4 linked regions of the Alligator mississippiensis genome follow. The protein of the gene in region 1 interacts with the protein of each later gene in a biochemical or structural test. Links are inferred from orthologs where the notes say so. Each region holds a gene or a part of one and is shown in the gene's direction. Other genes may lie near its edges.

The links.
Region 2: the proteins of HTR2C (region 1) and DLG1 interact in a test that uses a peptide from one of them, tested with the Homo sapiens proteins (2 studies listed by IntAct, with this or other methods). The link is inferred for Alligator mississippiensis from reciprocal best matches to the Homo sapiens genes HTR2C and DLG1.
Region 3: the proteins of HTR2C (region 1) and LIN7C form a complex in vitro, tested with the Homo sapiens proteins (2 studies listed by BioGRID and IntAct, with this or other methods). The link is inferred for Alligator mississippiensis from reciprocal best matches to the Homo sapiens genes HTR2C and LIN7C.
Region 4: the proteins of HTR2C (region 1) and APBA1 form a complex in vitro, tested with the Homo sapiens proteins (2 studies listed by BioGRID and IntAct, with this or other methods). The link is inferred for Alligator mississippiensis from reciprocal best matches to the Homo sapiens genes HTR2C and APBA1.

What each region holds. Positions count from the first base shown.
Region 1 is NC_081831.1:82,763,561-82,771,576, reverse strand, and holds the start of HTR2C (5-hydroxytryptamine receptor 2C), read left to right. Parts: upstream 1-4,819; 5' UTR 4,820-5,485; intron 5,486-8,016. UniProt on the Homo sapiens protein: G-protein coupled receptor for 5-hydroxytryptamine (serotonin).
Region 2 is NC_081830.1:89,480,552-89,488,258, forward strand, and holds the start of DLG1 (disks large homolog 1), read left to right. Parts: upstream 1-4,291; 5' UTR 4,292-4,424; coding exon 4,425-4,443; intron 4,444-4,573; coding exon 4,574-4,705; intron 4,706-7,707. UniProt on the Homo sapiens protein: Essential multidomain scaffolding protein required for normal development. Recruits channels, receptors and signaling molecules to discrete plasma membrane domains in polarized cells.
Region 3 is NC_081825.1:209,179,824-209,187,341, forward strand, and holds the start of LIN7C (protein lin-7 homolog C), read left to right. Parts: upstream 1-4,242; 5' UTR 4,243-4,280; coding exon 4,281-4,317; intron 4,318-7,518. UniProt on the Homo sapiens protein: Plays a role in establishing and maintaining the asymmetric distribution of channels and receptors at the plasma membrane of polarized cells.
Region 4 is NC_081826.1:193,884,669-193,892,310, reverse strand, and holds the start of APBA1 (amyloid-beta A4 precursor protein-binding family A member 1), read left to right. Parts: upstream 1-3,980; 5' UTR 3,981-4,177; intron 4,178-7,642. UniProt on the Homo sapiens protein: Putative function in synaptic vesicle exocytosis by binding to Munc18-1, an essential component of the synaptic vesicle exocytotic machinery. May modulate processing of the amyloid-beta precursor protein (APP) and hence formation of APP-beta.

The sequences.
Region 1 (8,016 bases):
GAATAGGGATGAAGAAGTCAGGTAGGAAGCCTGCATTCAAACTGGGCAAGAGCGAGTGTTTGTTTGTTTAGACCATTGAATATTTTGATGAAAGCAGACAAAAATGGTTGACATTGCCCATAGAAAATGCTGACTTTGCAAAATCAAAACCTGGGGTTTTTGGCTGAGAATTGAAAATTAAACTTGATGCCATCACAGTGCTTCCTGGTAGCTTTAGTTTGGTTGGCTCACGCCCTGCTCTTCTCTGCGATCTTCTTGCTGAGCTCAGCTGTCGCGCATCGCGGGAGCGCTCGCTTTTCCCCCGTCCCGCTTCAGAACCAGCCGTGCCAGAAGCCACTGCCGGGGGGTGCCGGCATTTAGCGTCTCATTGCAGCATCCCGGCGTTGGACCGTTGCGGTGAAATCATTGCACTGAAGGGCCGGAGATTTGGAGACAGTTGCTCAGTCTGGAAACTTTTGGGAAGCGCTCTCGACATGACTGTCTCTTCAGTTTATGGAAAAGTTCAATGTAAAAAAATATTTTAAAATAGCTCATTTGCCAGGAGTCTTGTTATAATCAATTGTACCCATCAGGATGAGTCAAAAATAAGCTTAAACAACTTATGATAAATGTCAGTTTTCTTGCGATTAAGACAGTTTACAGTAACCTTGCTACTTTGGACCTGTTCTGTAAATCAAACAGCTTTTCTTCTGGACTCCTAAACCTTCTAGGTTTGAAAGTAATTTTGCTCTATCAAGATTTGTGAAATCAACTTTTAAAAATTGAAACAAGGTCTGTATTTCCATATGTGCTATTTCTCTCATACTGTGCTTTTGATATGAAACGAGGGGATTATGGTGTCGCTGATCTCATCGAGCTGCTGCTTTGATTCTCTAAGGTATCATTATATGTGCAAGTGGGTAGTGAATTCATGTCCCCGAAATAGGGAATAGGGATCTGTTTTTAAGGTGTATCTTGACTTTATAGGGAGGTGAGGTTTATCATTTCAGCTCTATGTCATCATATAGTAGATATGTACATAAAAACCAGTATGAGTTTTCATTCCAAAAATAAATTTGCCCCCATTCCAGTATGTTTCGATATCCATCCTCTCCAGAAACACACAGCCCTTACATATCAAGGTTAGTGGGATATAAAGGACTCAGAAGGTGCAATTAAATTACCGGACAGCAGTTGAGAGAGAGAGAAATACCCAGTGTGCCTGGTACATGCTAGCTACTAGAGAAGTAAATGCTCCTTCCATCGCTTTGTATTCTGGTTTCAGCCCTCAGCTCACACATCCGCCTCTCCTTGGGCTGTCGCCTTATCGGGTCCCTCGTGCTCACTGGGGACATACGGGCCTGGTACCCAGATGCAAAAGCATCGGGGCACAGCATGTAGTGCAATAAGGGTAGGCCATGTCTCGGCACAGCGGCTCTGGGTCCTGGGCTGGCAGCCAGTGCATGCAGGCAGGAGGAGCATGTTCTCGCCCAGGAAAGCTGTTTGTCGATGCTCTCAAGTCCTTGCGACGGGGAAGGGAGCATGACACGCAGGTCACATAAAGGCTGTCCCCCGTCGCTGGAGTGCCAGTGCCGTGTTCACCGCTGGTGAATAAACCACCTCTCCGGTCTTCAACAGGAATGTATTCACTTGGGGGAATACCAGTAATGCTAATCCTCTGTCTCCCTGTGATAATAGCTGTAGAGCCGGGTGGGGAGGCATGCCTTCGCTTTGGTTTCAGAAGCTGTAATCGCGATCAGACCATGAGGATGCTCTCCATTACCATAGAAACGAACTGAAGTTTTTTCACAAAACCCGTTAAGTTTTGGAATCCGCTTTACAGAGTCAAGATGCTTTTTCAGGGAGTCCAAGTTGGGTGTAACTAGTGGTAAAAAAATAAAGCACCAAAAAAGAATTAAAACGTTAGATCCCGTTTAATTAAACAATATTTTTCTGGAAGCAGCTTACATTTAAGCTGATTTTTTTGTTTTTCACTATAATTTTCATGAAGCCGCATTCATTGAAATCTCCTTTTCGCTGCTGTTGGCAGATGTTATGCATGCTGGATTGGGAAGGCACGGTTGAGTTCAGCTCAGAATGATGTGAATTAGCGGTGTTCAACTGAACGGCTGAGCCAAGGCCAGCTTTGAGGTGCTCTGAAAACTTCAATGTGTCGTTCATCAAACGCAGAGGATGGCAGCTCTGCTCTAGCTTTCCATATGAAAGCTGCTCTCAGGATATTGCTGTAATAATGTTCCCCGGTTGACTCCTGCTCTCCTGAAGAGAAACCTGAAGCAGTGAGGAAGGAAGATAGGTATTTTTTAAGCTCGGCAACATTTTGAACCCACGTTTGTCACATCGTGTTTGCTTCTAAAAACAGAGGGGTCTGCCAAGACACAGTGCTAAACAGCCCTAATCCCTTTGTCCTCTTCTGCAGTACGTCCGTTGAAGATTTAGAAAAAACAACTCATGATTAATTCACATAAATGTCATCTAGGGAGAGGAAGAGTGCTTTGACCAGTGAACGCATCTCCTATGCAGGGACAAACATCCGTTAAAGAGACCGGATAGCTCCATTGAGAGACTGGATAGACCCGGGGACTGGGAGGGAATATTCATTTTTAACCACGTTTGTTCCCCTGCAATGCTTCAATTTAACAGCTGCCACTATGCTTCCCAGTTCATTTACTGTCGCTTTTATTGCACCATTGATGCATTTGTGATAAACTCTACGTCTGGGCTCCTGGAGCAGGACCACACGGCTATCGTGTACATCAAAAGGGCACGTGTGTCACGAATGCTCTCGTGTGATGTCAGCAGAGTAGTATTATTTCTTAATAAGCACATTTTAACATGATGCTAAAGCTGAAACAGCTCAGGGGCCCGGGGCAATTACTGGTGGGACCGCAGCTGGGCAAGTGCTACAGCCTGGAGTGCGGAAAGTGGCCTTGTTCTCCAGGGCCCTTTGGGCAGAAGGGAAGTCTCTGCTCTCGTTGGCGCTTGCGTCCATAAGTGCATTTATCTCCCGGCAGACGAGGTTCCTTGGGTGAATTTGACATCTTTTATTAGACCAACCTAAATGGTTGGAGAATAGTTATTAAGCAAGCTTTCGGGTTCAAAAACGCTTCGTCAGGCTAAGGAAGCTTCAGCAGTTGGTGTGTGCTCTTCCTGGATGCACGCTGGCGGTGACATGGCTCCGCCAGCAAATGTAACGCCTCCCTTACCCTTCTCTTCAGCTCTGTCTTTCCTCCTTCACAGTACAATACCTGTGCGTTAGTCTCCGCACCGTTGGTGGCCCTGTTTGCGTCTTCGGTCACCACGCTCTGGCCCCACGTAGCACGGGGTGCCGGCATCCATTGGCCACTTGGGAGATTTCCAACAAGCATCTTGGTGGTTTCTCCAAGCTCCCCCTGTGCTTGGGAGATGTCCGCTTCACCCTTCTCCTTCAGGTTCACGCTCACGACTCTCCTTTGCTGCGAAGCCTCCGCAAGACTTGACGAGTGGGCCAGGACTCCGGCCCGTTACGCTGCTCTTTGTCATCTCCTTGCGTTTCCATGCCCATCTGTTGTCTTTTATCCATCTACTGTATGTACCCGGTAGGCTCTTTGGGGTAGCGACATCCTTTGTTGTGTGCTTGTGCACCTCCTGGCACTGTGGATCCTGGTCCGTGACTAAGACTCCTCCGTACTGTTGCAATACACATAAATCTAGCTGTTATTATCTTGGAGAGAGCTGCTGATGCAAGTTGGCATTGGCTCGGGAGGGCTGGGAGTCGCATTGCTGGGGTAGGAAAGGGATGCAGAGCAGTGCCAAACCATTTGGACAGATTTCAGGTCTCTTCAGTTGAGAAATTGTTGAGAGGCTGTGCATAACCTTCCACCTCCGTGCACTTTTCCAACTTCAAAACTACCATTGAAATTAAATCAGCCCATTAAGCTCAGTAATTATTCAGGTGGAAAATGTTTTGGCTTGTCAAGGGGGAGGTGACACAAGCACTGTAAAGAGTTTGATGGTGGTTACTGTTTGGTGATGTATTTATTCCTCCAGGGCCATAAATTCCTCTGTTAAGTGTTTGAACAATGAGTATGTCACAAGTGAGCATGCAAAACGCCGGTGAAGATCATTTGCATAATAAAGGCTGTCAAAGTGGAATGAGTGTGCGTCTGGTACGTTCAGGGATATTTTGGGGTGTTCTTAAATTCTTATTTCTGATTTTAGTGGGCGAAGGATTCAACTAACATTAAAAAAAAATCAACGTTACATACAGTTGAGTTCCCAAATCCATACATAGACATGCAAATAAGTATCTTCAATGGGGCTTTTCAGCACTCCTGGAAGACGGGCCGTTGTTATAATACGAGTCGTGGAACCGTAGTGGCTCGGGGGCACGACCTGTTTCTGAGAGAAGGCTTTTTATGGCCTCTGCAGTAGTATGTAAAATGCTTGAATAACCCCTTTTCTGGCAGCACATACTTTCTAACATGCTCCTGATTTCTGCTAGGGACCAAATACTTTTATTGTGGCTACTGATTGGGTGAGTGCAGCCTGGTGGTGATCAGGATATGATTAGCATTGCGGCTTACTGGGGCCTCGCCTCGTTAGCCTGCACATGTGGCCGTGGCGGGGAGATGTTTGTTGCTGGGCAGATGCTTATTCTGTCTTGGGGGTCGAACGTTTAGTGCTTGGGGGTGCCAGAGCTGGAGGTAAGATAAATTAAAAGCCTTGCAAAAAGTTATTAAGACCTTTGTTTTGGTTTCTTCTGGAGCTCTTATGCTGCAAGTCGTTTAATGCCTTCCCCACAGCTGCCATTGGTTTTCTTTTCTTTTCTTCTTACAGGTTATCACGTGGGCTGAACAAAAAGGAAAAGCTCCAGTGAACAGAAGCTTTGATCCTTGATAGTATTGGACAATACGAATGCTCATCTCCCCAGGCCAGTTGCATCGATATGATGTCCAGGAAGAGGAAACATGTGAAGTCCTCATGCCTCCCATCAGGGCCAAGCTGAAGCGGGTCCCTCCTCCCAGGCTGTGCCATTCCCTCTTTCTCTCCAGGTCTGTGCCGCTCTGACCCATGTCTGTGAGAGGGAAGGGTCTGCAGAGCGGTGGTCTGCGGACAAGTCATGGAAGCCAGCTGGCACTGTGCGGTATTTCTGGCCGTCTCTCTACCGCAGGGTCCGTCCTCTGGGTGGATGTGGACTCTGCCACTTGCTGCCGAGGGCTCCAGGTTTCCTCCCCGAGACCTGCAACAACGGTCAGTCGTTCAAGCCTTATTCCGGTGGAAAGCGCTGGGCCAGTGGACTGGGGAACCATTTTTCTCATCCCTGCTTGCAGGGAGGGGGAAGGGGGAAGTCCCCAAAGAGGACGAGGGGACGGAGAGATGACAAAGCGGCAGGGGGTGAAAGGGCTCGCAGAAGGAGCACAGGAGACGACGTGCAAGGCCACGCAGGAAGGTCTGGCTGGGCGAGAGGAAGGCCTGGTTTAACAGCAGGACCACACACGGCTGGGAGGTAAGGACATATTTGCATCTACACCTGCTTCTCCCGCGCTGCTGTGTGCGTTAGACTCGCGAGCAAGGTCCGTGTATGTGTCTCTGCTTCCACCCTCATGTGAAGAGCTGCTTACCCCTTCCCAACAGGTCACCCGTGAAATTGCTGGCTAGTGCAGGGGTCGGCCGCCTACGGTCCGCAGGCCAGATCCGGTCTGTGGGGCCGTGGCTTCGGCAGCTTTCAGCGGGGTGCAGCTGTCTGTGCCGAGCTGCGAGTGGGTGCTGGCACCAGGGCACCCTCCCCAAGACATGCTGCGGTCGGGCGGGCGGGGGGCAAGCAGTGGAGGTGGCCACGTTTTAGGAGCCGGGTCCTTCTGACCCCCACTGGGCAGTGTTGCATCCCCCTGGACTGTGCCTTCCTCCTTCTGGCGGGGGCCTTTGGAGCGGGCGTGGAGGTGCCTGGGGGTGACGTGTTCTCCGCAGGCGCTTGAGACCCTGCTGGGCTGAGTGCGAGCGGTTGAGTTTTGTTGGGTTTCTCAGCTTTGAATTTCAGAGCAGTTCTGCTTTAGTGGGAAAGCCACTGCCTACCTTTTCCCTGCGGTTGTGACAGAAGCATCTGTCTTATTTTCTCTTCCAAAAAAGTGCATGGCACATTTGCTCGTCGCTCGGGGCTTCCGGGGACGTCCACCCTGTGCCCACTGTTACCCGGTGGCAGCAGCACGACGCTCTGTAACCCGCTGGGCCTGCGCCGGCCTGCTTCTGGCACCCGAGTTAGCTTGGGTGAAAAGTGACTTTGATAAATGGTAGAGGAAAGGTTTTCCCCTGCATGATGGTTGGGTTGAATGAATAATAATAATAATAAGCAAGGAGAAGGCACTAGTACTTTTCACTTTGTGAGACTAGCGTGTTATTTGAATACCTATTGATCTGGTACTGGTGAGGCGTTACAGCTGTGATGGGAGAGAAGACGTCTGGGTACATGCAGCCTTGCAAGCAGGCATGCAGATTTCAAAGAGTGGAAGAAAGCAGCGTAGCGCATAGGTAGTAATTAGGACCAAGAAGAAAGAGGCTTTGGCTTTTCTCCTCAAAAGGAAGCACAGTTGTATTTGAGACCGAGGGCTGGGGACGGGTGTTTGGGAGCAGGCTCCGCTCCTACAGCCCTTGAACAGACCTAGAAACAAGTTACTGGGGTTTTGTTGGGGTGGGCGGGTGCGGGTTGAAATGCGGTGCCGGAGAGCGCGGCTGTGATAACGCAAAGTTATAGGCCAACAAAGCAAGGCTGAATAAGAGGTCACGAAGCTTTTATTTTGTGAAGTCAAATCTACAGGAGATTCAGCGGCAGTTCCCTGTTCCCTGTGCCAAGGTGGCCAGCCTCTCGAAGGCTCCTCCACCCCTGCCAAGCCTTTATTCAGCTTCGTGTCCCAGGGGGTCAGTTGCTGCACCGTGAAACTTCGGTCTTCTCTCCACGCAGGTGCTTTGGACTCGAGACACACAGGGACACTGGAGCGCGTGCATCCGTGCACGCTGTTGCTTTTAGAAATGAAAACTGCTGAGAGCTGTTGGGCCAAGATGTCGGCGTTTCAGCTGCTTGCATCACCCTTCGTCGCAGTCCAGGACTAACCACAAAGTGGTCTGTGGTTGTCGGGAGCCAAGTTTGGGCTTCTCTTTGCTGCCTCTTATTGCTGTAACTTGGCAAAGGTTTTGGTTACGTCTGTGACTTCTCTTCTCAACATTTCTCGGCTCTTTCAGCTCATCTGTTTCTTGTTCACTCTTTGGTACAGCTCCGCTGCTGGTGGCTGCCGTAAGATCCCGACTCGGCACGACTAGCCAGCACGCGGTCTGAGGGACCTGCGCGCGCGAGGGCGCAGCCATCCACTTCAGCGGGAGTAGGGGCTGGCCCCGCGGTACCTGTGTAGCCCAGTGTAAAGAGGCAGCCTGCGGCACAGCCATGCAGGAATCCTGACAAACTATGATGGGATTTAATTTCTTTGCGAGAGCTGCTGATGCCTGCTGTGTATCGACCGTTCTCAAGTCTATCGTGCCTCTACTCGCGCACTCATCTGATCTCCCTGACACCGTGCTGTTTCCCCCTCGCTCAGTCCTCTAGGAGAGTTTCCCCACCTGCAGTAATGCAGAATGCGGACATTTTCTGTCTGTAGTCTTGCCCTGGTGGGAAGAGTCATTGCTACGTCCTTTGAATGTGCAGCATGTGCAGTGCCTAAAAAGGTAGGAGCTAGAAAGTCGCTTGTACTTCATTGTCCTTGTATCTCAGAGGAGCAGGAGCTGGCTTGGGTGAGCTTGTAAGGCCTTGTGTTGGAACAGATCCTGTTCTGTTAACCCCATTGCTTCCTTCTCTCTGACAGCACTTTTCATCATGTACCATCTCTTTCCATGCATATCGCCCACCGAAGCACCTCATGGTTTCCCATGTCTTCAGTGACACACCAGAGGCATCTGAAGTGAGCATTCGGATCTGCAAGGCTCATGTGAGGTCCCCAGCTGTGGACCAACAGCGGTCATTACAGGTCTGCTCTGGGCCAAGGAGCATTTTGC
Region 2 (7,707 bases), on another chromosome or scaffold:
CTTTCCCTCTGCTCGGGCCACATTTTTGTCACTTAGCAAACCACCCTTACCTTGGCAGATCCTTTATAAATGCTAGTAATAATAGGCCTGCTTCCCTTCCTGCGTGCATGTTCCTCCCCCATGAAGAGGAGGAAAGCCCCCCTTAGGGTTCATTTTATTGCTGCTGGAAATGGGGATTGTGTTAGAACTAATGAGATCATATAACAGGGACTTCTACTGCTGTCTCCTCCCAGCAGGGATTTCTTTAAAAAGCTTGGACAAAGGATGTGTGAGCCATCACAACTCCAGTACCAAAGCTCTGCAGGCAAGAGTAGGAAAATCTGCCCAAAAGAGAATGAGAAATGCAGGTCAGTAAATGTAAACGTGTAACAGTAAATTCCTCCCTCGAGAGTGGTGGGCATGGCACTCCCCCAGGGTCTCTTGAGCATATATTGACATTTCGTAGAAAGAATTAGGATGTTGGCTGCTGTGGCTCCCGTTTTACTCGTGGCAGGTTTGGGTGTGAGGTCTGTGTCGTGTCAGGGTTGATGGTCATCTCGCGTGGAGTTGAGATTGACAGGTTTGCCTGGGTTGGTTTGGACAGGGCTGATCCTGCCTCAGACAGGGGGTTGGGCTAGATGTGACCTCCGGAGCTCCCTGCCGGCCCCACTGCTCAGCGGTTCTATGAAAGAATTTGTGCAGCTGTAGATTAAGTGGGTATTTTTATACAATGTTTTCATTACTACCTAGCACAGGGATCTGCAACCTGTGGGTTGGATCTGACCTGTAGAGCTGCCAGGGGGAAAAGCACCAGGACCAGATGCTGTTCAACACTGAGAAGTGTAAAGCGCTCCATCTGGGGAGGAAAAATCCGCAACAAACTTATAGGCTGAAACGGACCTGGGGGTCATCACTGACCATAAAATGAATATGAGCACCAGTGTGATGCTACAGTTAGCAGGGCAAACAATAGTCTGTCATGCATCAGCCGATGTATCTCAAACAAAACTGAGGAAGTTATTCTCCCGCTTTACTCGGCATTCACGATGCTGCAGCTGGAGTACTGCATCCAGTTCTGGGTGCCGCACTTCCGGAAGGATGTGGAGGAGTTGAGAGAGTCTAGAGAAGAGTCATTCGTATGATTAGAGGCCTGAAGAGCAAGCCATACGAGGCAAGGCTGACGGATATGGGACTGTTCAGCCTAGAAAAGAGAAAACTTCGGGGGGATTTGGTGGCAGCTTACAAATATATCAGGGGTGAGAATCAGGGGCTAGGTGAACAACTATTCACCAAAGCGCCCCAGGGGGAAACCAGGAGCAACGGTCATAAACTCCTAGAAGAAGGTTTAAGACTGGATCTAATGAAAAACTTCTTCACGGTTCGTGTGACCAGACTCTGGAATCGACTCCCAGCGGGGTGGTGGCACCTACCCTGGAAATCTTCAAAAGGAGCCTGGACGCACGCCTTGCTGGGGTTATTTGACCCCACCAGTCTTCCCTGCCGAGAGCAGGGGGGCTGGACCCAATGATCTCATGAGGTCCCTTCCAGCCCTAAACTTCTGTGATTCTGCGCCTCCTTCACTGTAGCTTCCATCCTTCAGAGGCCCAGGAAGTCCTAATTTGCAGGTTGTACCCCTATTACATTTGCTTCCCAGATTCTGCATTAATCTTGCTCAATCCCCTTTTGAACCCAGTCAAATTATTTGCCTCTACAACTTCTTGTGGCAACGAGTTCCACAAGTTAATTACCTGCGGTGTGAAAAATATCTTCCTTTCCTTTGTTTCGGAGCTACCTCCTGATGATTTCTTTGTATGTCCCATCACACTAGTATTGTAAGAGACAGCAAATCCCCATGTGCTTTCTCCACGCCTGTCATGTTTTTATAGGCAGAAAAACAGAACATAAGAACTGCCATTTACTGAGTCGACCACAGGGGTGGTGCTAGGGGTGCTTGGGGGCTACAGCCACCCCAAAGATTGCCTTAGCCCCCGTAGCCACCCTCCCAGTGCCATCGCCACCCGCAGCTGAGCCCTCCCGCCTGCCCCGTGCAGCTGCCTCGACCATAGGTCCATCTTGCCCCATCTCCTGTCACACGGGGCAGAGTGCAGATGTTGGAAGGGGGAGTGAACTGGGTCTGACCTGGGTTTTTCCTGTTGTTCCTCTCTCTTGCAGCCTCCAGCATTTAAGGTCTAGGAGGTTCTGATTGAGAGGCTGTACATCTGCCACAGTCTCCCCTGTCCCCTGGCTGTCTCTTCTATGAATCCTGCACATCATGCCGACCAGTACTGTCTCACGCATGGTGCTGCCCCATCTGCCTCTCTTCTCATCTCCTCCTGTTGGCTCTCTCTGGGGCAGGTCTGTCTTGCTCTGCGTGCGCAGCACCTACCACGATGAGGTCTCAGCCCATGACCGGGGCTCCCAGGAGCCACGATGAAAGTACAGTACCGCTATTCCTATGACTACAACAAGGAACTGCTGTTCGAAGGACAGAAAGCCAAATTCTGTCTGGCATTTAGAAATAGTCTGCAATGCAAACTAATATGACATCAAGGAATTGGATGCGGTATTGTTCAGTCATTTAGATTCCACATTCCCTTTTTTTCCCTTCTTCTCAGAATCAGCTTTCACAAAACCTAAGATTCTGTCATTTTCAATAAACTGACAAGGGTTTCCAAGAAAAAGTCACCATTTCCCACAATTGCAACAGAACTGTAGCTGAGACATCACAGACTTTCCCTGTGCTTGGGACAGCCGTGGCACCGTCGGGCAAATCCCTGAGGGTGCAGCGCAGGGTCCGAATTGCACTTTGACTCTGGGGGGGCGGTCTGCAAAAAAAATGGGGCTGCCCATCATGATGCCCTAATAAAACCAGAGGCACCCCCCCCCGGTTATGATTTTAAAATTTTACAGGGGGGCTGTCATGTCCTATGGCCCGGCTCAGCCCCACCGAGCTCCCCCATAAGTTGAGCACTGGTACAGTGGCATGGCTGCACCCCCCTTTGGGCATGGATCGCACTGTGGGGGACTTCCTAGAGCAGGTGAAAATCCTCCCTCCCTCCCCCTTCCTGCTCAAAGACACACCGCCTCCCCCTCTCCTGGCTTCCTTCCTTCCTGCCCTGCCCTGCTGTCCTGGGGACGGGAAGCGCTGGAGCCCTTCCTGGTCGGGGGGGGGGGGGGGAGAAAGAGCAGCAGGGATGGCCGGGGCTCCCCCTCCCTGCCTGGGCCGGCGTGGGGAACTGCTCCCCGGCTGCCCTGTTGCTGCCGGTCCCCTCCCCGCTGAGCCCAGCCCCGGCCCAGCCAGGCTGCCTCCAGCTCCCCCCCCCCCCACACAACACAACGGGGAGAAAGGGCGGCCGGTGGGGGTACAGGCAGGTCCGGGCTGGGGGAAGGGGAAGGGGGGGCTGACACGTGCTTGCTTTGGGCACTTCAGCCCCGGAGGCCCCTGCTAGGCGGGCTGGGCTGGGCTGCCTGCACTGGGGGGCTGGAGCAGGGGTGTGGCCCCCCGCCGTGGGGGTCTTGACCCGCACCCCCTGGGTGCACCCCGCCTGCGTGGAGAACAGGTCCCGTCCTGGAGGTCGGGCTGCCAGCGCCGTCTGCACCCGCCCCGGGGTGGCCCGTGCCGTGCCATGCCACGCCACGCCACACCAGCATGTCCACGATGTGGCGTGCCAACGACGCCCGTGCCAACGTGCCTGTGACACCCGTGCCAGCATGCCTGTGGCCGCAATGCCTGTGTCAATGTGCCTGTAACACCCATGCCAACGTGCCCGTGATGCCCGTGCCAACATGCCTGTGACACTCGTGCCAGCATGCCTGTGGCCGCGATGCCTGTGTCAATGTGCCTGTAACACCCATGCCAACGTGCCCGTGACGCCCGTGCCAACATGCCTGTGGCCGCAACGCCTGTGTCAATGTGCCTGTGACACCCATGCCAACGTGCCCGTGACGCCCGTGCCAACATGCCTGTGGCCGCGATGCCTGTGCCAATGTGCCAACGTGCCCGCGACGCCCGTGGCGGCGTGGCCGGGGCGGGTGCGGAGGCGGGGACCCGTCGCGGCCGGGGGCTGCCCGGCTCGTGGCGCTGCGGCGGCTGGCGGGGCGGGGCCTGCGGGGCGGGGCGGGGCCGGGCGGGGCGGGGCCGGGCGCACCTGAGGCGGGGCGGGGCGGGGCGGGGCGGGGGAGCGCTCACCTGGCCCCCGGGCCCGGCCCGGCCCCGCGCGGGGCGGCCGCTGATTGGGCGGCGCGGGCCGGTCACGTGGGGGCGCCGCGCGGCCCCGCCGCCATTTTGCCTGGAAACTTTGGAATTTCAAAGCGGCGCGAGCGGGAGGCGGCGGCGGCGGAGCCGGAGCGGCGGCGGCAGCACCGGGAGCGGGAGCGGCGCGGCCGCCACGAGTCCAGCCGGGGCCGCCCCCGCCCGCGCTCCCCGGGACGGGCGGGGCGGCACCATGCCCGTCCGGAAGCAAGGTGGGGGCGCGGCGGGAGCGGGCCCCTCACAGCCCGGGGCGGGGGCAGGGGGACACGGCGAGTTGGGCGGGCGGTGGCGGCCGGGCGGCCGGGCCCCCCCGCTGACCGCGCCGTGCCGTGCCGCCCGCAGACACCCGGCGCGCGCTGCGCCTGCTGGAGGAGTACCGCGCCAAGCTGAGCCACGCCGAGGACCGGCAGCTGCGGAGCTCGCTCGAGCGCGTCATCGGCATCTTCCAGAGCAGCCTCTTCCAGGCGCTCATCGGTGAGTGTCGGCCGGGCCGGGCGGGGAAGCCGCGAGCAGGGCCCGGCTGCGCCTCAGCCGGCGGCCGGGAGCGGGGAGGGGAGGGGAGGGGCGGCCGGGCGCGGCGCGGCGCGGCGGCGAGACGCGGCGCCAGGAAAGTTGCGGAGAGGCGGGCGGGCGGGCGGGCGCTGTCCCGGGCCGCGCGGCCCCCCTCGCCGCCCCCTACGAGTCCTCCGAGAGACACCGGAGCGGTCGGTGTTGGAGCTTCGTCCCCCGCTTCTCCCTTCTCCTCAGCCAAGTTCCTCGTGACCCTATTCTGGGGAGAAATAGGGAGAGAAAGTTTTTCTTGTTTTTTTTGTTTTTTATTACTTCTTATCTTTCCCAATAAAACATGAGAGGCGAAGGCCTGCGGGTGCGGCTGCGTAGACAAGAGCGCGTTCACCTCGCCGGCAGCAAGGAACCAAGTCCTGTCATTAATAAGTCATATTTAACTTGCCAGCATGGACGGGCAAAGCTCTTCTTAGAAGTGCCTTTGTCTCGGGGTTGTTCCTTGCCTTGAGCGCGCGGTGCCGCGGGTCGGGGGCACTCGTGTTCTGGCCCTGCCGCGCGGCCGGCCGGCCGACGGGTGTGGAGCCCGGAGCAGACCCGCGTGGCCCCAGCCCCCGCCGTCTCTGCCCGCCGGTCCAGCGCGCAGCCTGCCGCCCCCCAGACCGTCCTGTGGGCGCAGCAGCAGGGTGCCAGGGGCTGCTGCTCGCCCACGGGCTGCTCTATAGGTCCCGGTTGATATTGGGACTTAGTGCTTGTTTTAGGCTGTGCTGTGTCAAACAATCAAGTTCTTTCAACTCTTCTCCTGTAACCTTGTCTGGCATTCTCCTACGCTTCGGTCTCCATAAAAAAGGTTATGATACAGTGACTGTTTTCGCTGTCGACTTCCGAAATGGAAGTCCTGCATTAATACCACTTTAAACTTGTGAACTTAAACATCCCTCATCTGGCTCGCGAAGGAGAAGTCAGTCTCATGAAGAAAGGCTTGGCTGACTTTGAGGGATGGGCGTACGAGCCCTCTGTGGTGGATCAAACTAGTGAAGTTTTATATTAGTCACACTTGGTGTTGTGCAAGAGTTTGTGGTTTTTTCTCACCCCTTTTTGCGCTCCCTTGCCATATTATTTTTGTTGGAACTTACTATAATGGCTCATGGATTTTCCTCTTAGAAATTCCTAGAAGTTTATTCTTTATTCCTTCCTTCTAGAAAACAAGGAGGAAACCTGTTCCAGCTTCTTCCCCTAAATGTCCATAATGACGCTTCATCAGGCTAAAGGAGCTCGTCTTTTCTATGGCATTAGCCTTTGATACTGTGATCTCTTCTGCTCTAATACTGTCTGTAATATTATATAAGCTATCTCTATCAACAATACAGGAATTCATGAAACACCAAGCCAGTGCTTATGTTGCAGTATATACTATATAAAAGAAAAGGAATATGTGCTGGCAGGATGTAGAAACAAGGATCTGTTTTTGCAGATAGCACCGATGTGAGGGACTGTAGCAGTTTGACATCCTGGCTCTCGTTGTTGCTTTAAGGTGAACTACTTTTACAGAAGTTTTAGAGCTCTTTGCCTTGCTCGAACAGGTTAAAGCTGCATGGCATGCAAACTGAGTTCAAGAGGAGTATTGTGTCTTAACCCTGTAAGACTTATTTTCTAATGAAAGAGGAAAAACATCTGTGTTTTGATTACGCTTATATGCAACCCTTTCTAGAGAAGGCTCAGGGTGGCTTACAGCAACTACATAATGTATAAAAACAGAATAAAACATTGGAATGCAGTATAATGAAACTAGGGGTTCACAGATAATGATTTTCTTGGTTGATACCAATAGCCAATTATTAACCAACCATATTGGCTGATGCCGATCTGATAACTGATATTTAGTAATAATGCAAGGCATTTTGAAGTACTGACAGAAATAAACCTTGGTTTTGTTTGTTTTGTTGTTCTCTGGCACACTCCAGCCTCCTGCGTCACATGCATCAGCATCCCTGTGCTTAAAACTGGCAGCGGGGTGCTTGAACTGAAGCTCATGGAATGAGCTTTAGTTCAAGTGCTGCCGCCACCATTTTTAAGTGCGGGGACGCTTGAGCTGAGCAGAGTGAAGGCGGATGTGGGCTGCTCTCTGTGGGCTCAGGGCGCTCTGCCCCAGGAGCTCCATGCTGGCCCCATGCCCCCTGCCCACCCAGCAGTGGGGCACACAACTCGCTGCCCCCACTGCTGCCAGACAGGCAGGCAATGCGGGGCCGGTGTGGGGCTCCTGTGGGAAAGGCAGCAGAGCAGAGAACCTTGAGCCCATGTCTAGGCACAAGTCTGGGGGGGCACATGCCCTACCTCCCCAAGGGGGTGCATGCAGTGGTGGGGAGTTACTGTCTCCCCCACGCCCCTCTGGATGAGCCACCTGTGGCTCTGACCTGCTCACAGGCCCAACCCCAGGTCCTGTGCACCACCCTGGCTGGGTAGCAGGGACCACAGTGGGAGGCAGGGAAAAGGGCACCAAGTGGAGTAGTTGTTAGTCAGGCAACAGAAATAAAGCAGCAAGTTGGGCAGGGAGCAGAGAGCCATATTGAGAAGGGGGTTGAAGTGGCACATGGGGCTTAAGTTGTGGCACACCTGCTAAAAAGTTTGGCTCCCCACTGGGCTGTTTTATTCAACACACTTGCGAGCCTGAACATATTCTGGCAGGAGGTTTAGGAGGAGCAGAATAACCTTCAGGTTTCCCAACTTGAAAGTTTGACTTCAAATGCTTGCTTCTATTTAAATTGATTTTTAGTACTTTAATATCTTTAACCCAACTTATTATGTACCTAAAAAGTGAGATATACTAAAGCATGCTATGATTTGGGTCTGCTCCTTGACTTTTTTTTATCTCCCTGCTGGCCAACAAATATCTGTCTCTTTGAAACCTCAATATTGTAAGTCTTAAAAGGAGAAAAATTTATATTTGGCAATAACTTCAACCATTGTGAAGATAA
Region 3 (7,518 bases), on another chromosome or scaffold:
GTATTGTATCTTTTGTAATATTCCCAGCAATTCAACCATTATTGTTCATCTTTGTTCACATGATACGTTTCTATGCTTTGGCCAATTGTAGATACTTTTGGTGCTTATTTTAACAGCTATGGACATGTCAGGAATTAAAACTAGTTTTAAATTGCCAGCAAATATACTTTCTACAATACATTTATAAAAAGACAGGTCTCATGCCTGCACTAAAGGAGTTAATACTTGTAATTTACATTGTAAACCTTTGGGGACCAGCAACATTAGCACTCTTATGTATATGTAAAGCACCAAGTTAATTTACATTGCCATCCTGATCATGGATTATCATAACATATATGCAGTGACATCATCTGTAGGCGCACATTGATTTTAATGTAGCGCCTTATTAGCTACTTGTACAGCCTGTCTTATTTTTATGTGTAATCAAGATAATTGTACATGGTTCTCTACATACTTTGTGGTCCCCATTCTTAAAAAAAACTCACAACCTCCTTCTATTAGTTCTGTTTCTTACATGCACTTGGTGTTAATACACTAATTAAAACACTTATCACAGGTACCAAGTTTCTACAGCTCCTATTGATTTCAACAGGATTCAAGATAGCTCAGTATTTCTAATAATCAGGCCAAATGGTTTCTGACATGGTAACTACATTTCAAATGTAGCTAAGCAATTCTAACTACATACTGTGAGTAAAAAAAATGCCCTGGTTTAAGAAAATGTCTTTCCTTTCTCAGCAAAGGAATAATTCCAAAAGAACTAGCTGTAGAAACTCTAGCGATTTTTAGAGATGGAAGTGAGGGGAAAACTGGCATATATTTGAACCTATACTGTAGGAAGCTTTAGAAAAAAAAATATCCATGGCAGATGTACGTAAGTGCAAGTGTGCCTGATAGAAAAACAAGAGATCATCTCAAAAATCCAATCTGCTGCAATGCCTCTCATTAACAATCCTACTAAATCATGTCACTCTGTAGATTTTCACCTGCTTTTCTTCATTTGATTTTATTTAATTTGATTTTTCTTCAATCTTTTCCCAGGGTAGTGCTTTAACAGCCTCCACAAGGTGGCAGGCAGAATGACACACGCACCTTCTGGCTCCTAAATTCTGAAGCCATAAGTCTCATGCTTTCCATATTCCCCAGTGTGCCAGACTACAAACTCAGTAGCTAAACTGACTCTTATGCTTATGATAGATATGTCATGTTTATAAGCTATAAAATTGATTCACTCTGTGGAACAAATATTTTCATTAGTTTCTCACAAAATCTAATTGTAGCCATGACTGTCTAGGAAATTTATGGTACAAAAGGGTTTTTTGGGGGGGTTTTTGGTTGGTTTTATTTTTTTTTTATTTTTTTTTATTTTTATTTTTTTTTGCAGTTAGGCAAGATTTCAGACATGAACTGCCCTTCCTCAGCTCTCAAGATAGAAAACATACTGAATTATTTCTGCTGTACATATTACTATTAGAAATTACTACACAATTACTCTAAGTTGTAGGACACAGTAAAAACACTGACCTTGTGCAAAAATATAGCAAAATGCTAAAAAGCGACCTTCAAAGAAATCACCTTCTTATCAGCTCTAAAATTACATTTTTCTTCTTTGTGGTGTTACTTTATAAATATCAGGGACCTCAAGTCTGGCACTTCCTCATCTTCTGGAAAACATTATAACAGAGGACAATGAGCCTTCATGCCTTTTCTTTGAAATTGCACAAAGGTTTACCAAAGACAGATGTACCAAAGATTTCCTTTCTTTGATGTGTTATGAAAACCAAGTTTGGAAAGATTTAAATAATCACTTAAATTTCGTATCTTTCTGTTGTGAGATCAGTGCTCCACCAGTTTTCCAGTCATTCACAGACTTCTTGTTTTTGTAAAAGAACTGAAATCCTAAGGTAAAAAAAAGAGAAAAATAAGTAAATTATATTAGAAAACAAAGAGCAGTCTTTTCCAAACTACTTCACATACCATTAAAAACCCAACAAGGGTCACATCTTTTTCCCCCTATGGGTCATGTGTAGGGTACCTAAAGATCCTTGTATTTTCCTGGAAGCAAAAGTCTGTTTTCCAATAGCCATGGACATACTGGCTATTAGAAATTCCACACAGAATTATTTTCAGGTTTTGTAGATTAATAACATGGCATTTTAGATAAAACTGAATGTAGTTACTTTGCTCAATACAGGGTGGTAGACGTAGGCTACAACTGCAGTTTTCTGACGTGAATCTCTCGTAGCATTTGAGACCCAATGTTTAATGTTTGATTTTCCAATAGGTATTAAAAATGTAAATTAAAGGCATTTATTTCTCTTCCCACGTCTGAGGTATTGATCTGTGGTTTTAGAGATGTTTAAGAAAACCTTCTGTGTTACATCAATCCAAATATCAGCTGTTGGTTCCTCAAAATGGGGGTCACTGCTTGGCAATTTCTGGGGCATTGTGAAATATGCGCACACATTTTTTTCCCCAAATATATTCATTGGCTTAAGCAGTGTCGGCTACTAAAGCTTTAATTTTTCTTTTGTTTTGTTACGTGAAAGCTGTAAGGATTTGACTGTGTTCACTTGTGAAACTCAAAACGTTTCCATTCACGTTCCTGTTGTGCTGAAATGCATGCAGGATAAGCCTCTTGCTGGCAAGAGGGCAGATTAAATAGAAGGCAAGGTACATTTGCACCTTATAGACCAGTGATTCTCAACCAGGGTGTCCTGGCACCCTAGGGTGCCTTGAGATCCTTTCTGTGGGGCCACACAATATTAGGACTGTGAGGTGTACAAACGTGATTCAAGTGATGAGCCCAGAGATCACAGAGAGGAATCTCCAGTGTCAAAAACATTCTTCCCTGTTGTCATTGGTGACATGTAGGGATGCATGCGAGTGCACTTGCACCCCTGAGATTGGCGGTGCACCCCAAGAGAAGCGCCGTTGACGCTGCTGTCAGCGCCTGTGGGCGGTCGCTGCTTGCCACCCCTGTCCCCTCCCTCACCGTTGACACTGCCAGCGGGGTCTGCAGGCGATCGCCAATGGCTGCTGGCTACTGGTGAAACTGCCAGCGGCATCTCTGGGTAGCTGCCACTGGGCGCTCACCACCCCTCCCCTCGCTGCCCACACTGCCGTGGCCACTTGCAGGAGCTCCCCGCTCCCTGCCACCATGCCCCCGACACCAGCACCACTGCCTGCAGATGGTTACCTTCTGGGGGCACGCGTCATTCATGCCTGTTGTGGTCTTACCGAGCTTACTGTTTGCAACAGAATTGCTCCAGATTTTTCTATAGTCCAAAAAAAAAAAGGAGAAATTAAGAGCTGGCATTTTCCAAGTCTACTCAGGGGTGCCTGGAGCTGGCAGAGGGGTGCCTGGGGTCTAAAGAAAGTTGACTATTATAGACTAACAAAAGTAGATCAATAGAGGGCACAAGTTTTTGTGAGCTGAACCTCACCTCATGAAAGCTTGTACTACACATGCATATACATACATATATCTGTGTGTGTATGTGTGTATGTATACACAGGCAACCCCCACTTAGCATTCTTAATTGGTCCCCAAAAAATCAAGTGGTAAGTGGAACAGTGTTAAGGAAAACCAAGAAAAGATTTTGACGAACCAAGATGGTGACCGCGAGCCCTATCCTGGAACTTGCTGAGCGCTAAGCGGAATCGGTGTCAATGTTAACGAGCATTATAGCGAAATAGCACTAAGCAGAACAGCACTGAGCAAGCATTGCCTGTATACATATAATGTGCGCATGTGTGTATATGTATGTCTGTGTCTGCATGTATGTACTCTGGTTAATCTATACGGTAGAAGGGGTGTGTGTGTGTATACATATATGTATATGTGTGTGTGTGTGTGTATATATATATATATATATATATATATATAATATCGTGAACGATGTGTGCTTCCAGAGGTGGGCAGGGCACTGCAACGGCGCCGTACGCAACGGTGGCAAGGCCAGCAGCGGCGAGAAATCCCGCAATCGGCCACAGCGGTGTACGCAGCGCAAGGTGGGGTGGGAGGGGCGGACACGTGACCACCCATTCCGCGCTTCTCATTGGCTACCGTCGGCCCTTCCCGCGCCAGGCTATGAACCCGAAGGCTGCGCGCCCTCCGCCTCCGAACACATGGTCGGGCGGGGCAAGTGCTCACACATGCGCGATGGGGACAGTTCGGCCGGCTCGAACTCCCGCGCTCTTTCTCCTTCCCTTCAGCTCTCGCGGCCTTTCCCGAGGCGCTGCGTCACTTCCGGGGGGCGCGAGACGGAGGGAAGATGGCGGCGCTGGGTGAGCCCGTGCGGCTGGAGCGAGGTGAGGGCGGCTGGGAACGGCCTTTGGAAGGCGCGGGGGAGGGGAGGAGCTACGCACTCCCCTTTCCGCACACCCCCCCCTCGCGCGGCCGGGGGACGCCTCGCCGCAGGGTCCCCCCCGCCGAGTGTCACCTCGGATACCTGCCACACCTTACGTGCATTGCGCAGTGTAGCCCGGGCAGAGCAGTCGGCCCGCCAAGAACGGGTGGTTCCCGCCCTCGTTTTAGGCCGGCCCATCGAGTAGAGGAGGTCCCCCGCTATAAAAATTACCTACTTGAAAAAGAGGCAACCAGCTCTACAGTTAGTGGTGGAAAATGTGTAACGACTTGAGAGCCGGTTTCTTCATGGCTTGAACTGGGGCGTGTGGCAGGGCTTGCTTGTAATATACAGTGCCCACTTGGGTTGTGATGTTCAGGGCGGTGTTATTTTTGCTGCCCAGTGAAGTGTAGGTGCAAACCACTGGAGAATTACGTGCAGGCGCAATATAGAGCATCCAAACCACGTCTTAATTTTCCAAGCGCATGTGCACATAGGCAGCAAATGTGGCTGGTGTGAAGAGTGACTTCTCAGTGGGAGTGGAGACCAAAGAGGATTTGTTTTGGGTGGTGAAAACACCTAGTCGGGCTCTTGAAAGGAGCAACAGATGATTAGTGAGGGGGGTGTATGGCCAGCTCTTTGTGGGATCATAGGAAAAGAGAGTTGGAAGGGACCTCAGGAGTCACCTAGTCCAACCCCATGCTCAAAGCAGGACCAACCCCAACTAGAACATACCAACCAAAGCCCTGTCCAGCCAGGTTTTGAAAACCCCCAAGAGTTGCCTTTCTTCTTGCGCTTTGGTAGTGGGTATGGGGTGGGGAATGTACCATTTTAGCTTGTGTCTGGCTGTAAGTGGAGATTTCTCTTGTTCAATCTCCGCGTATTACCAGCTTCAGAATTCTATTCTTGAGACTGTTTGATGGTTCCCCTCCCCATTTCCTTCATCTACCTTCCCATTTCGCAAACAAGCTGCTTGTAGGGTGAGCGAGAAGCTTTGTAAATAGATCCTTGTTGCTGCTGATTCCACAGCTCTGCTGCCCCCCTCCCCCAAAGCTTGTTAATTAGAGCAGTTGCTTTGGCAGTGGATTAGCTGTTCTCAGTGGGTTTGCTGTGTAAAACCTCAGGCAGCATCTTGCTCCCCTCATTACCCTGCCACTGTGCTCTGTCCATGAAAACAAACAAATCTCTGCAGAGTTATTTATGAACTCTGGAACAAAGGAGCTATTTACGCTCCTTTGTTGGAGCTTAAATAGTTCCATGTTGGTTCATCTTAAGAATGTGGAAAAGAGTACAGAATAGAGTAGACTTAGTGAAGAAGAATGCTATTTTTCAGAAGTAATTTCTGTTGTGATATTGTTGACTTTAGATAAGTTTATGATATTTCATTATCAGGTCAAAGGAGCAAACATCACAGAGAATTGGCATATAACGTAGGGAGAGATGGACAGTTCTGTTTAAAAAGCATGTCTGTACTAGCAATAGGAGTACGTTACAAATTGGAGGACAAATATAAAAGAATCATGGAATACTAAACTTGGATTGGGAGGGACCCCAGAAGGCATTTTGTCCAACACCTTGCTCAAGGCAAAATCTTCCTTGCCTAAGCCATCTTAGATGAATGTTTCTGACCTGCACTATTGATTTGATTACACTTCCCTTCTAGGTAGTATACTTCAGTGCTTAACACCTCTTCAGAGTTAGGAAGTTTTTCCTAATGCAGTATTCATTCTTTAAGTCCGTAGCTTTGGTACTGAAAAAAGATGATAAGCTAATCTGGTTTAAATTTGGTTAAGTGCAGTCAATGCTCATTAAGTACATAGTACTTCCTGTGCCGTTGTACTGTCAGCCCGGAAACTGACATCACTTTCAAGGTTTCTAAGGCCTCTGACGGTTCATTTAAAGGCACAATCTGATTCATCCCCTTGACCCCCTCACACTGCCCCACCAACACGCATGCATGCAGGCGCATGGCTGGATGTGTCATTTTGGAATTGGCCATCAGATCCCAATTGCACCGTGCTTCCATATTTGCCAGTGCAGGGGAAGCTCAGGATCCTGACCCTGGGGTCTGCCTGCATTGGCAGCTTGAAGGCAAGATGCCCAAAAATCAGTTGATTGTCAGTTTGGCAGGGACTGCATTGGGGCTGATTCTAGACCATGGCACAGTCTCCAGACCCAACGAGCTAGTGTTGTTCCATGCAGGGTTTAAAGTCCCCAGCCGGGAGAAGGGGAGCCTCAGTGCCTGGTGCTGGCCTGCCTTGCCAGAGCTGCTTGGTACAGGGTTTAAAGTTCCTTTGGTTTAGCCCGGTTCCCAGCCACATGTTGAATTAAGGCATCATACAAAATGAGCCATGAAAATATTCTACATCAAGGGTGTCAAATATATAGCCCACAGGGTGGATCTGGTGCATGGAAACATTCCATCTGGCCCACTTAGTAGTCCAGCGGACTACTAGAAGTACAGTGTAGCAGAATTCAGGTTCCCTGGACCCCAACGGACATGACTTTTGGCGACAGTTTCCAAGCTCTGTCCTGCTGCCTGAATTCAGCTCCATGCAGTCGCATGCCCCTAGCTTTGTGCCACTTTCCAGCCAGATCTCCACTCCATGGGGCAGTGGCATGGTTCTAGGAGCATGTCATTGCATAGAGCTACGTTTGGGCAGCAGTCTGACCAGTCAGCAGTGCCAGGGGTCACATGGCAGCACAGAGCTGAGGGTGTACAGTGGCACAAAGCCATGGTCGGGCAGAGTGGAGCTGGGGATATGCACCTGCAAGGAGCCAGGGACGTGTGGCAATGCAGAGCTGAGGCTGTGCAATAGCACACAGACATGTTCAAGTAGTGTGGAGCTAGGGGTATGTATGGAAAGGACCCAGGGACATGCAGTGGTACAGAGCTCTAGCCAGGCAGTGGCATAGACCCAGGAGGTTGCTGCTTATAGTCTAGTTTGCATCCACACCACTACATGTCCCTGGCTCCAGCTCTATGCTAGTAGTCTGGCTTCAGAATAGAGTAGCAGTTGCAGGATTGGATAGCGGGGAAGGAGAATTAAGAATGATTCAGTGTGGGATTCTTGGAGGACTGACCAGACCAATGTCGCAGAACACCTGGTGTTTACGTCTAACAGTGAACTGGTTCACAGTGAACCAGTTCAGAATAGTACTTGAT
Region 4 (7,642 bases), on another chromosome or scaffold:
CAGGTTCACAGGGAACCGGTGCTTTATCAGGCCATTTATTCTAATGTAAGAGCAGAGATGATATGAAATGGAAGTGTGACAGGGGAAAAAACAGAAAAGCACATTTAATTATATTTTCCTGTCAAGATTCAACAGTTTTGTCAAGGATCAATAGCTTCAGGGTCTTACATACACACTGTGCTCCTGCCAGTTTGTGGTAGGATGTACAATCAGATGATGATGATGCATTCCACAGAAAGGCACATCTTTCTTTGCTCTGCCCTGTGCCCCTTCTGCAGAAAGAGTTTTTCTCTTCTCATGAGTTTATGAAGGTAGGCAACATTCCCAGGAGGGAGGAAGAGAGAGAGCATGTACATTAGGTCATGAAATAAAGACAGCAAGCAAAGGAAACATGAAATTGTGGGGCGGGGGGTCGAATGTGCTCATTGTAACAAAGGGAGAAAGAAAAACCTGGAGCAGTCACTGCCTAAGCAGAAAGCACTGCAGGATTGTTTGCAGGAGATTTTACAAAATCAGTCTTTCCACCATGCTTTTTTGCAGTCTGCACATATTTGATATGCTTTGCACTTCTAAAGTGATGTAGTGAATGGACTGTGGCTCTGGGATACAGCTGGGCTCTACTGAATGGAATCAGAAGGGCTCAGATGTGTCAGAGGCTCTCCCCTACTAAGATGTAACAGTGACATTCTTCCATGTTGATATCTATGTCTTAGGATATCAGCCTCAGGACAAATGAAGTTCTTCTGCTGATACCTTTAGATTCTAAATTAATATGGTGGATAGTATAATAACAACTGTTCCATTACTAGCTAGGTACAGGTTAGTAATGCTTAAAATGGCTTAATTATCACAGCATTTGTGAGAGGTAGGGAAGTATTGTTAAGCCTCCAAGTCTCACTGATTTGGGATGGGGATGCCATCATTCAATCAGCTTTTAAAATCTTTTTCGTAAAATAAAAACAATTATAATCTTATAACTAGAGGCTTAGAGACCTCCCTGGGCATGAAAAAAACCCAACACATGTACATATAAGCCCCCCCCCCCCCCCCCACGCACTCATTCAGTCAAATGAATACAGTCAAATAACATGCACTTTAATGCAGCTAAATACAAGATAATGGATTTGGCATCCAGGGTAAATTTACAGGATGGAAGACTGTCTCAGAAAGCAGTGACTCAGTGAGGGACTTAGAGGTCATTAGGGATAAATGCCTCCATGTGCCTCCCTTGTGTAAAACTATAGCAAAACAGACTAATCCAATGCTTATTTATAAAAGGAGACTATCCAAGAGCAGGGAAGTGATTTTGCCTCTGTGCAAATGCTTGAATGCTGTGCCTATATCTGGTGTTCACATGGCTAGAAAGGGATAAAAATACTGGAAGAAGTTCAAAGGAGAGCCACAAGCATGAGATCTAAGCACTGAAAAGCAATCTTTGTCGTGTGAGTCTGAAGTGGCTCAATTTATTCAGCTCATTGAACAGAAACTGAGAAGTGACTTGATTGCTATGTAGGGATACTTGAACATAAAGATGTTTGGTAGTGGGGTGCCTTTTTCTGATATCCTGACATGACTGTAACAAGATCCTGTGGATGGAAATTGAAAACAGATAAATTCCACTTTGAAATAAGACACAGCTTCCAGGGAACGGGAGTCATGACACACTGGAATATCTCATTAGAAGAGATGGTGGCCTCACCAGCACTTGGCTTCTATAGGGTGGATGGATATATCATTTTGAAAGATATGCTCTAATTTGGCTTTTAGAATAAATTCTTCAGTCTGTGTGGAGTGTATGGGCCTAAGTAGGATGGAAAATGATGTTGATCACTTCAGCAGCCACTGAAAGTTGTGGATAGCAATCTCCCTGTTTATAACCTTCTTTAATGGGTCCTGGAATGACTGGGTTTGTCTACATTGGTTTCAACATGCTCTTAACAATTGCAGTTCTGCATTAAGACAAGTACTTGAATAAAATCTCCTGCTTCAGGCAGTTGCCTCCAGGAGTCGAGAAGGATTTTTTTCTTGCATAATGCATAATATAATTGCTTTTTTTTTCTTTTCCTTCCTGCTTTCTTCTAAAGCATCAGATTGGCCACAGGTGTCAATAGGAAATAGGATGGGGTATCTTGGTCCTCTGAAGCAGTATAGAAAATCCTTTCGGGTCCTGGGACGTAAGTCTTGTTCATATAAGGTGTATCATACTGATTACAAGCAATCCTTGGATTTACGACACAATTGGGTCCTGAAAACTGCATCTTAAGTCAAAACATTGCAACTTGGAACTGATTTTCCCATAGGAAACAATGTTGTGAATGGGGGATTGGTTCCTGAACCAAGGCCCGATACCCTACTTTCACCAAAAATAACCCATAATTTTGTACTCAATTATAGATGAGTAATATAGCTACATTAATGTATTTATGTTGTAAATAGCAATCATATTGATTTGGAAGGACTTCCTTGAGGTGACTTAGCTGAACTTCTTGAAGGGCTCTCGGTTGGACTTTTTGAAGGGTTCTTGGCTGGAGTCTTCTCAGGAGTCTTGGCTGCAGGTTATTCTGGAGCCTTGTCTGCTTTCTTAAAGAAAGTGTCCAAGGAAGTTTGGACAGATGTTCTCCAGGGAGATGGGGGATGCAGAGGATCAAGCATTGTAAAGTCAAAACTGATGTCAGAAAGTTGAAACAGGTGTCAATTTATAAATGTAAGTGTGAAATGTTGTGATGCGAAACATTGTAATTCAAGGACTGCCTGTACTAGGTTCAGGTTGAGAGGGAGTTTCTGTTCTCTTGAGGTCAGGTTGGTATGGTCCTCATCTTTCTCTACTGGGAACCTCTGAGCATGTCTCATCTAATCAGTTACTTGTTAGTGCAGGACTTCAGGGAGTGGCACTTTGGTCATTCCTGTACTCTGCTTGTGGCACACCTTATAGGTTTTGTGTGCACTGGACTATTTAGTATCGTTTACACTGCAGATTTCATTTTGGGTGTTTGAGTGAAGCCGGCTGGTTTATGACATGGAGAAGGACTAACAGGATGATCTGATGCTGTGTTCTGCCCTTCTATACGTCTGGGAAACCACACTTGAACTGATCAACACAATTTGGAGCATGGTTATGAGAATCAGGTAAACAGAAATACAGATATCTCCTACCTGACCTTCTAAGTCACTGCAGGCTGCATGTATTTCATGATGCTGGCCAACACACCCAGCAGTAGCTGTACAGATAGGTTTTGCTCCCCAAATGTAAAACATGAGTAAAACCCCTGCCTGTGTTAGCTCTCCCTTGTCTCCATGAAAACATGAAGAGTAAAACCCCCACCCTTGTGTCAGCACTTCCTCAATGCCATGAAAACAGGAACAGTAAAACCCCTGTCAGCTTTCCCTCTGCCATGAAAACATGAAAGCGAAAACCTGTGCCCTTGTGTCAGCTCTTCCTCAATGCCACAAAAACATGAAGGGTAGAACCCCCGCCCTTGTGTCAGCTCTTCCTTAATGCCAGGAAAACAGGGAGGGTAAAACCCAGGTCCTTGCGTCAGCTCCTCTTCAGTGCCACGAAAACGTGAAAGGTAAAACCTGTGCCCTCGTGTCAGCGCTTCCTTCATGCCAGGAAAACGGGGAGGGCAGACCTGGTGCCCTTGTCAGCTCTTCCTCAAAGCCAGCGAAACATGAGGCGTAAAACCCCCAGCCGTGTGTCAGCTCTCCTCAGTGGCATCCCTATTGTGCAGCTGGGCAGAGGGGAAAGTGGGGACCAAGCGGGGGGTGAACACGGCCTCGCCCCTGCCGAGGGGGCTGGCGGTTGTGGGAGGGAGGCCGAGGGGCCCGGCTGCACGGGGACACCCTCTCCTCGGGCAGCCTGGCTGCGGGCACCGGGGCGGCGGAGGCGCAGGGCTCGGCCCTCGCCCCTCGTGCAGCGCCGCGCGGGGCGGCCCCGGCGGGTGACGCGGGCGGGCGCGGGGCGGGGCGGCAGCGAGAGGCGGGGGCGGCGCGGGGACGGGCTCCGCCGGCGGCTGCGGAGCCCGAGCAGCGGCAGGAGGAAGATGGTGGAGCTGGGGCCGGCGCTGGAGGCAGCAGCAGCAGCAGCCGCCGCCGAAGTGCCGGCGTGTGCCCAGGCTCGCGGCTCCCGCCTGCAGCCGCCCTGCCCCACCGCGGCCTGCTGAAGCGGCCCGCCAACCCGGTGAGGAGCAGGACAGCCGGGGGTGGCTGCACCGCGGTGCGTGCGGGGCCGGAGGAGGAAGCGGGCGGGATTGCATCCGCCCCCGGCTAGGGCTGCGCCTGCCGGGGATGCTGCGGCGGGGGAAGCAGCGGCCAGGCTTGGGCAGCGGGGGAGGGGAGGCGGATGGGCGGCCGCCTCCTGCGCTGCAACGCAAGAGACCGAGCCAGGCTCGCCCCATCCTCGCCCTGCTCCGCACCGGCACCGGCGCCGGGTCCTGCCATGTGGGGGTTGGGGCTGCCGCAGGGAGCACGTGGTGCTGGCCTGACAGGAGCGGGCTGGGAGGAGGGCATCTCTTCCTACAGCTTGGGCTGCCCGTCCCCCCTGGATGGTTTTTTTTTTTTATGTTGTTCAAGGCCACATCGTTTCCAGATCCAATTGGGCAGAGCCCGAGAGTCAAGTTCCCAAATTCACCTGGGCAGAGCTCGATCGGCAAGTCTGCGTGTGGCTCTACCCCCTCCCAAACCATCCCTCTGGGCTTCGGGGACTCCCCAGACCCAGGCAGGCAATCTTATGTGCAAGCCCTAGGCCTGGAGGCCTTGGGGTTCGTGTGTCCCCGCCCCCAGTTTCACTTGATCCTTGCCAAAAGGCCGAGGCAGTCGGGGTTTGCAAAGAGGTGCCAGGGAGCCCTCCTCCATCCGCCTTGCTGCCTCCCTGCACTTCCCCCCTCTGCTCTCCACCCCTGCGCTGGGAGAGGGACCAGCGGCTGCTGCTGTCACTGTCTGCCAGCAGATTTAGGAACTGCTATTCTTCCCTACCCCCCACCCCAGCCACATCTGCACAGCGCTGTGGGGCCCTTCCATTCAGTTACTGCAGCCCTCTGTGTTTCACTTTTCCCAGAGCTCGGTCTTGTGGGGCGCAGTTCCCCAAGGCTTGTTTTTCTGTCAGCCTGTGTGGAAATCTGCATGGGAGAGAGAGGCCAGGATGGAGGCCTGTGTCTTTGGAAGCGTGATGTTTCGTCGTTTTGCTTCCTTGTGGCTTTATGGCGCTGAAGGATTATGGCTCACTTCACAAGGTGTGCCATAGATCTCTGGCTGTTGTCATAGCTGCCCAGGAACTAAAGCAGTGGGACTAGAAGGCGCGGATGTTTTTCTGACTGCAGGCATTAAGGATGAGCTAACATGGGGCAAATCAGGCATATGGTGTGGATTTCTATCTGCACTGTACATTTACCTTATGCCAGGTGCCAGGAGCCCATCCTACAATCAGTGTTTTGATACCTCTTTGTTAGCATGGATCAGAGGGTCCCAACCAACCTGTTCTGGAAAATATTCCAGTCACAGTACTTTAAATTCTACTGCATTGCTGTCAAAATCTGAACTGGCTGCCCCTGTCTTTGCAGCCTGTGGCTGCCATACCTCCAGAAACAAATACGCAACACATCGTCACCTTTGTTGTTTGGAAAATAAAGGTGGAATATCTTTGTCGCTATTGCAGTGGAGGGATTTAGAAATATTTAGGGGTGAGGTCAGTTGTACCTTTAAATCTATCAGTCATTTTAGAAACTTCTAGTGTCCAAAGTCTACTTATCATTTTAATTTTCTTTTCTTTTTTTTCTACTGTTGCATCATAGACATCTGCAAACCAGACAGTGCAAAGCACAGCTTTTATTTTTGGTTTCTATACTCTTTAGTTATGATCCAAAGTTGTGACAAATTGTGCTTTGAGTAATTATGCAAGATTTAGGGGTAGATTTACATAAATGGAAACATTTAAATCTTAAATCTGTGTTCATGTGTTGGCTTTTTTGGAACTGTCATCTAAAATACAGACTAGTTAGTTTTCTCCTTTTAAAAGCTCTTCCTTGCCAATTAAGAGTGAGCAAGCAGTTACCAGTTTTTAAAGCACCGCTATCAGCTGGTGATATTGTTGGAATGTATATGCTGAAAAGTTGAGTGTCCAGTAAATTGTAATGCACTGACATAGGTAGTTGTAAATTGTGGTAAATTGATCATTTTTCCTGCACTTTGAGAAGTTTTGATGCATTTCTAATTATACAATATAAAATGTATAGAAAGCTTAGTTGAAAGAGAGAATATCTGACTTGTTTAGATTGGAAAAATGGTTAACAATTGGAAATAGTGTGGATTAAAAAGTGGATATAAGCTTTACATTTGAACAGATTCATTAAATGATGGGCAGACAAGGCTTGGGGTACAGCACAAAAACTATAATTCACTGGACTAAGTTATTGTCCTTTTCTCTTGTAGCTTGCAGCAATGCATTTGTTTTGCACTAATGCGTTGTCTTTGCTTAAAATAGCAGTAATGTTTTCAGACTATTATTCTGTGTTCTATCAGATGCAAAGGCCAGCCTTTTAGAAGCCTATTAAAGAAGAGATATTCATAGATTGACCCTTTGGTTATAAAGTGAAAGATGCCAACAGAAGTACATTTTATTAGAAGGCCCTAGTTAGCTAGGAAAGAGCTGTTCTCTTGAGGGGGCAAGGTCTGTGGAGAAAGCAGAAATGCTTTCCAGGCATCCTTTTTCAGTTTCACAATTACTTAACTTCAAAGTATTGTTTATTATATTAGTGACATTTTTTTTTTTCAAATATCTATCTAGGTTTTGTCATTCCTCACCTTTCAGGAGGCACTGGGAGAGATCTGCTTCTAAAAACGTTCCTTGCACATGTGCACACACACTCCGATGTGTAATAGCTTGGAAGCTGTCATCACATTCAATAGCATCACAAAATGTAATGGTATAATGGACATGCTGTCGTGTTGGAAATCCCTAGCCTCCATGGAACCAAAGAAGAAAATTCTGGCAGGTTCAGTTCATTCTCCTGAGACTGATATATTCAGTTACATGCAGTTAGGTGGATACAGTTTTGGGGTATAAAACTGTAAACGTAAAGGTCTTGTTTGCTTTGTGTTACTATGAAAGATTGTGTAACACCTTCAGTTAAGAAAGGCTTATACTTCATTTCCTCAGTTTAAAATGTGTGAGAACTGAGTGAACATAGCAGTAACCGGGAACCTATTTTTTCTCTACATACTGTTAAATTAGGACCCATTGTCTTTAATGGGACAAGTAATGGGATCTATAATTTTCTAACACCACCTCTTGTATGTTGTTGTATAGCCTAAAATAATGTATACCTCTAACAATGCAATACATTTTAAACAAGATTTTGACCTAAAGAAAAGCTGGCAGCTTGAAAATTTTGCTGTGTTTCAAAATGCTTTTATCTGACAGTTTTAAAGATAAGACCTAACTAAGCATTCTAGAATTGCTAGAGATGAGAGGGGAAAAAAAATCTCTGCACTCACTACCTGTTCTTTCCTGTTCATTTACTAGGTGCGTTTGTGTATAGCATTTTGAGTATAGACAGTTTCACTGTTTTAGTCCATGTGGGTCTTTAAGAAAGCATTATGACAGATAAAATCAAAGTGTGGTAGTTAGTCTGAAGTCAGGAAGAAGGCA